Macaca mulatta: one gene and its partner. The protein of the gene in region 1 purifies or fractionates together with the protein of each later gene. This does not show direct contact. Links are inferred from orthologs where the notes say so. Each region holds a gene or a part of one and is shown on either strand. Other genes may lie near its edges.

Region 1 (3,625 bases):
CCCTACCACTATCTTTTCTAAGTGTGTTTACATTTTATCTTACAATCTTCTAAGGAAGTTTGTCAGCAAAAAATCCCAAAGCACAGACCCAAGTACCTTAGAATTAGGAAGTTTACAGTCACACCATCGTCCATCTATCATATGTCGCTGTGACATTACTTTCACCTGTGTTTCATATTCCGTAAAACGAACAAAGCCAAACCCCTTTGAATGACCAGTCTTAAGATCTTTCTTGACCTAGAAAGGATGATTTAAGTTTACTCTAACAGTACACATACACATTCCACGCCCAAATCATAGTTCCTTAAAAAACAATTTGAATGGTTTTAACTGGATGCAGTTGTTTAAAACTTAAACCAAGTTAGTCTTCAGAGTAAAAACAAGGAGGTTAATATTGAATCCATACCGTGTTAACAATAGAGCAAAACTCACTTATACAACAGAAATGTTTTTGAGTTCTTAAAAAAAAGAGAGATGGGGCCAGGCGTGGTGGCTCACACCTGTATTCCCAGCGCTTTCGGAGGCTGGATAACTTGAGCACAGGAGTTAAAGTCCAGCCTGGGCAACACAGTGAAACCCTATCTCTACAAAAAATACAAAAATTAGCCAGGTATAGTGGCATGCGTCTGTAGTCCCAGCTACTTGGCAGGCTGAAGCACAAGAATAGCTTGAATCCAGGAGGCAGAGGTTGCAGCAAGCCTAAATTGCACCACTGCACTCTAGAGCCTGGCTGACAGAGCCAGACCCTGTCTCCAAAAAGAAAAAAAGAGAAACTGAGTCTGGATTATGTTGGCTAAGGTGGTCTTGAACTCCTGGCCTCAAGCAATCCTGAGTCTGGATTATGTTGGCTAAGGTGGTCTTGAACTCCTGGCCTCAAGCAATCCTCCTACCTCAGCCTACCAAAATGCTGGGATTACAGGCATGAGCCACCACAACAGGATTTTAACAGAATGTCTTAGAATGAATTCAAAGATAAAAAGCTATTATCACCTAATTCCCTTAAGCCTTCACGCAACAGCAGGATTTTACAATATTGAAGGTAATAATATAGAGTACAAGATATGTGTGTAAATATAACAAATATTGGAAGTATCATTTGTGTAACAGGAAGTACAGTGCCATTAAAATAACAAGAATATGGCCGGGCACGGTGGCTCACACCTGTAATCCCAGCACTGGGAGGCCAAGGCAGGTGGATCACCTGAGGTCAGGAGTTCAAGAACAGCCTGGCCAACTGGTGAAACCCTGTCTCTACTAAAAAATACAAAATTAGCCAGGCGTGATAATGTGCGCCTGTAATCCCAGATACAGGAGGCTAAGACAGGAGAAATCGCTTAAAGACAGGAGAAATCGCTTAAACCCAGGAGGTGGAGGTTTGCAGTGAGCCAAGATAGTGCCACTGCACTCCAGCCTGGACAGCAAAGTGAGACTTGGTCTCCAAAAAAAAAAAAAAAGTAACAAGAATGTGGCTAAGGCATCATGGCTCAGCACACTGGGGTTGAGGTGGGAGGACAGTTTGAGCCCAGGAGTTCAACACCAGAGCATAGGCAACATAGTGAGACCCCATCTCTATGTATACCAATAAATAAATGCCAGATGCTCATTCACTGTAAAGAAAAACTGTTTGATGCAATCGAAGTTTACCTGCACCATAAGAACTTCTCCAAAGGTACTAAAATACTCTTTCAGGTCCTGTTCAGTTGTTTTCCATGGGAGACCCAACACTATTAAATCGGATGTTTTCTGGACTGCTCTTTTCACTTTCACTGCTGATGAAGCATCTGTCTCATCCATTTTTCTTTTGTTATCTAAATAAAATGAGCAGAAACCTTTTAGACTTAGCACTTCTTTAAAAACACTACCTCCTACATCCAGAAATGAGAAGCAAAAAGAAGACTCTAAGAAGAGTAAGACACTGAAAACTTGCAAGAAGTGATTTTTGCTCTAGAGGACAGAATAAAGGCTTAAGTTTAGTGTCTGAGGTGCTTTTCTGGTGCAAATTCAGTGATTTCCAATTTTGTTTTTTGTAGTACTTCCAGATTACAATCTCTCTCAAAAGGTTTATCAAAACAAAAATAATTCTACTTCACTTTGACTTTAAGTATCAGCAACTTGTATCTCCTGATGTAGATTTCACTTTTATCTTTCCTAAACATTCGACAATACACAGCTTTTGCAATAAAATGGAAAACCAGGCACAGTGGTGTATATGCCTGTAAGTTCCAACAACTCAGGAGGCTGAGGAAGGAAGTTCCAACAAACTCCTGCCTTAGAGTCCAGGAGTTTGAGGCTGCAGGGTGTCTATGAACAGCCACTACAATATGCCTAGGCAACAGAGCAAGAGCCCCCATCTCTAATTTCAAAAAAGAAAAAGAAACCAAAAGTTTGGCTTACTTAAAAAAACATAACCAGCTGGGCATGGTGGCTCACACCTGTAATCCCAGCACTTTGGGAGGCTGAGGCAGGTGGATCACAAGGTCAAGAGTTCAAGACCAGCCTGGCTAAGATGGTGAAACTCCATCTATGCTAAAAACACACAAAAAAATTAGCCGGGCTCGGTGGCAGGCGCCTGTAATCCCAGTTACTTGGGAGGCTGAGGCAGGAGAATTGCCTGAACCCAAGAGGCAGAGGTTGCAGTGAGCCAAGACTGTGCCACTGCACTCCAGCCTGGGCGAGACTTTGTCTCAAAATAAAATAAAATAAATAAATAGATAAAAATACAAAAATTAGCCGGTCGTGGTGGCAGGCGCCTGTAATCCCAGCTACTCAGGAGGCTGAGGCAGAGAACTACTTGAACCCCAGAGGTGGAGGTTGCAGTGAGCCAAGATCGCGCCACTGCACTCCAGCCTGGGTGACAGAGCAAGACTCCATCTCAAAAAACAAACAACAACAACAAAAAACTCCTACACAACCTTAACCTTAGGTTATTTAGAAGAGAAAGGGAGATAATTTTTTTTTTTTTTGAGACGGATTCTCATTCTGTCACCCAGGCTGGAGTGCAGTGATGTAATCTCCCCTCACTGCAACCTCTGCCTCCTGGGTTCAAGTGATTAAGTGATTCTCCTGCCTCAGTCTCCTGAGTAGCTGGGATTACAGGTGTGAGCCACTGTGTCTGGCCTGGAGAGATAAATTAAATGACATTTTTTTCTTTTCTTTTTTTTTTTTGAGACGGAGTCTCGCTCTGTCGCCCAGGCTGGAGTGCAGTGGCCGGATCTCAGCTCACTGCAAGCTCCGCCTCCCGGGTTTACGCCATTCTCCTGCCTCAGCCTCCCGAGTAGCTGGGACTACAGGCGCCCGCCACCTCGCCCGGCTAGTTTTTTGTATTTTTAGTAGAGACGGGGTTTCACCGCGTTAGCCAGGATGGTCTTGATCTCCTGACCTCGTGATCCACCCGTCTCGGCCTCCCAAAGTGCTGGGATTACAGGCTTGAGCCACCGCACCCGGCCCTTTTTCTTTTTTTTGAGACGGTGTCCCGCTCTGCTGCCCAGGCTGGAGAGCAGTGGCACCATCTCAGCTTACTGCAACCTCCACCTCCTGGGTTCAAGCAATTCTCCTGCCTCAACCTCCCCAGTAACTAAGACTACAGATGCAAACCACCGCGCCTGTCTAAGTTTTGTATTTTTAG
Region 2 (3,625 bases), on another chromosome or scaffold:
AAGGTAAAACTTGACAAACGCGCCAGACCAGACCAAAGCAACTCGCAACGAAGTAGGTTTGCCATAAAGTCACAAAGTCCAGGCTTGATAATGTTCTGAGAAATTGATAAAAGATGTGTGATGTGGACATAAGTAGCAGGGACTTAAGAGAGAAATTCATTCTGAAACTGCTTTGAATATTGTATGTTGTTGATGGGTTGGAAATACATCACCTTGGGAATGAGGTTTTTTTTTTTTTATTGGAGTTCCAGGAGTTGGTAATACCATCATTATATGCAGGCTTCACAAGTTACGTAATTTGTAGTGGGGACACGGAATAGACATTTAATCTGTGTCACCCAGAGGTGGTTTTAGGTTTTAAATTCCGTATTAACGGTTGTTTTCTTTCCAGACTGCAAAATTCAAAATGGGGCTCAAGGTATTCGTTTCATCTACACCAGAGAAGGCAGACCAAGTGGCGAGGCTTTTGTTGAACTTGAATCAGAAGATGAAGTCAAATTGGCCCTGAAAAAAGACAGAGAAACTATGGGACACAGATATGTTGAAGGTTTGATTTACATTGCCCTAGTTACAGTAAATAAAGCATTAAACAATAGAGGTCTTACCCCTTCTGAATTTTAGGTATTTGACTGCATGGAAATGGTCATCTAAGGGAGTTTGTGGCAGCTCTTCCTAGCTTATCTAAAGACCCAGGAAGTCTGAACTTTGTTACCTAATTTTCCAAAAGTGACTAATTCTAAGCACCTCTTTCAGTATTCAAGTCAAACAACGTTGAAATGGATTGGGTGTTGAAGCATACTGGTCCAAATAGTCCTGACACGGCCAATGATGGCTTTGTACGGCTTAGAGGACTTCCCTTTGGATGTAGCAAGGAAGAAATTGTTCAGTTCTTCTCAGGTATGTAGTCCTGTTTGTTGATGAGCAGTGAGTTTTGGCTAGCTTCTGCAAGGTGATTTAATAGACCTTAAAGTTGAGTAGCTTAGGTATTTCAATAGGTTGTGTAAATTGCCAATGAATTAATGTTTTCTTCCTAGAGACCTTCAAATAATTTAAGCCCATCTTAAAGGTGGAAATGAAGTACTTCCAAAATGTTAACTTTGCCTATATTTAGTATTATAGTTCAGAGTAGATCTTTCATTGAGGATTGCCCTCAACAGCTTAACTGCTTTTCCTCACATTGGTGTCCAGCTAAGTACTTCACGTTAAAGGTAAGATCCCTTAACATCAGATTAGTGTGACGAATTAGGTTGTTGTAAATTATGGCAAGTGTCTGTGTTGTTGCAAGAGACACATTTGGGTCATGTGACCAGAATGGTCTAATTCTCTTTAATGCAGAAGTCGATTTATGAAAGACTTGGTTTAACCAGTGTGATATAAACTTACTGAAAATCAGATGTAGTGAGAGTAGTTTGAATGCTTGTAGTCTCAGTATCTGAAATAACAAAGTGTTTTGAAATTGTTCCTGGGCCTAAAGTATTTGAATGTTTTTATGCTGAAGAGCTGATAAGATTGCATGTTTAACAATGTTAGATATCGTATATTTTAAATAGTAATATTTATGATGTGATACACTGGAAGCAAGAAATCCTTTCATGGTTTAGTGTAGTATGTTAAAAATTTATATATGTATCAAGTCCTAATGTCAGAATTTTAAAAATCAAGTCTTGTTTTGTTTTTACTCTAAATTGGTGAGAATTGAATGCTATCTGTCAACGTTAAATATGAACATAATTTCATATCTTCTAGGAAAGTGCTTTAAGTCCTTTTTGTAAGCTTGGGAATGTATCCACGGAAAGGATTTTTCATAGACGGAATTTCCAGAAGTGAATCATAACTACTGTTAGAGCATAAGCATGCATGATTGTGCTGTGTAGATCAGTTTTGTTGAAAGTTTAGATTGTTATGTTTGTCAATTATAATTTAATGTTTTAGTTTTTATATGAAATGTTTAAATGTATACCTTTTTAAAGACGAAGTTCCAATAACTTAAAGCATTGAAATATAAAATGAGGTAAAAGGTGTTTTGAATTTAGTAAAACTGTTATTTAATGCTTAAAACTTAATTGAATTCTTGTATAATTCTCAACATTAAGTTGCATAGATATGTGTTCTTAAGTTGTTGAATTCTTAATGCATCCTGCGTTCAGCAAGTTTTTTTTTTTTTTAATTTATACTGTACCATGGGTGTGTTAAGAATAGTTATACTTCGTAATAATGGAACTTCATATTATTGCAATGCATATTTAAAGAGTACTTGTTGAAAGCATACCATTCACCTAAAGTTAAAAGTTCTGGTTTATTTAAAGCTATAAGAAGAATCATTTCTGGGCTTGTGATGTTAATATTGCCCCCCTACTGGGGTTATTTGTCCTTGGGTTGAAGGGTTGGAAATCGTGCCAAATGGGATAACATTGCCGGTGGACTTCCAGGGGAGGAGTACGGGGGAGGCCTTCGTGCAGTTTGCTTCACAGGAAATAGCTGAAAAGGCTCTAAAGAAACACAAGGAAAGAATAGGGCACAGGTGGGGATGGATGGTTGGTTGGATATGTCACTTTTCTTATGGTAAACAATTAAATCCATATTCTCTCTGCTTAAAAGAAGAAATTAATGTTTTGTAGTCCTAGGTAATTGATGTTTTGCCATGATTTCCAAACTTTTCTTGTGTCAGTCCCATGTTACACGCAAACTAAATTTTAGGTTTAAAATTTGTCCCTAGTTAATTGGTCTACTTGACAATTTTGTGAGTCTTATTAACCCCAATCAATAGAGTTGAGAGACTATGGCTTTAAAAAATTAATGCAAACCTGGCTTTAGCTGTAATAACACCCACCTAGAGTAAATTAATATTACCATAAGAAAATGTGATACTTTCTGATCTTGTTTTTAAAGTTGAAATGCAACAAACTTTTTCTTGCTGTATATAAATATTCTGCATAGTATTAATAAGCATAGCTTTCAAGAAATTGTCACAAAAGGTTTTATTCTCTTTGCTTGTGACTATTTTTCATTGAAGCATGCGCTTACCTATGCTGATTCTTACTAAAAGCATAGGCTGGGGTATTTATTGGCGAAAGGAAATGTGTAGTGTGGGCTAGACTGTTGGTGGAGGCTGGCTTTTTAGCCCACTTGCTATACATGCTGCCAATGGATTTAAGACTTGAAATGTTGAAAGTTGAGTGGAATTATTTCCCTCCTAGAACGTTTATTTACAGTACTCCTCTCTACCCCTAAGGTTGGGCTCTGCCTCAGGAGGAGTGAGTGTTTTTTTTCTGTAAAGTTTACATTGTCTTACTATTTATTGAGTGAATTTCTGGTCATTGCCTATGCAAATATAAGAAATCTGGCTTTAAATATTAGTCAGTTTCATGGCTATGACTAGATTGTATTTCTTGTGTAACTAAATACCTGTATAAAATGAACTAATGTTGTCTCTCCCCTCCCTACCCCTTCCTTATGAACGATGCTTTAGGTATATTGAGATCTTTAAGAGCAGTAGAGCTGAAGTTAGAACTCATTATGATCCACCACGAAAGCTTATGGCCATGCAGCGGCCAGGTCCCTATGACAGACCTGGGGCTGGCAGAGGGTATAACAGCATTGGCAGAGGAGCTGGCTTTGAGAGGAT

The links.
Region 2: the proteins of TARDBP (region 1) and HNRNPH1 purify together in Homo sapiens (affinity purification with western blotting; 3 studies listed by BioGRID and IntAct, with this or other methods). This does not show direct contact. The link is inferred for Macaca mulatta from reciprocal best matches to the Homo sapiens genes TARDBP and HNRNPH1.

Annotation. Positions count from the first base shown.
Region 1 is NC_133406.1:229,708,387-229,712,011, forward strand, and holds part of TARDBP (TAR DNA-binding protein 43), read right to left. Parts: intron 1,809-3,625; coding exon 1,645-1,808; intron 238-1,644; coding exon 97-237; intron 1-96. UniProt on the Homo sapiens protein: RNA-binding protein that is involved in various steps of RNA biogenesis and processing.
Region 2 is NC_133411.1:188,578,618-188,582,242, reverse strand, and holds part of HNRNPH1 (heterogeneous nuclear ribonucleoprotein H), read left to right. Parts: intron 1-391; coding exon 392-547; intron 548-753; coding exon 754-897; intron 898-2,382; coding exon 2,383-2,521; intron 2,522-3,469; coding exon 3,470-3,625. UniProt on the Homo sapiens protein: This protein is a component of the heterogeneous nuclear ribonucleoprotein (hnRNP) complexes which provide the substrate for the processing events that pre-mRNAs undergo before becoming functional, translatable mRNAs in the cytoplasm.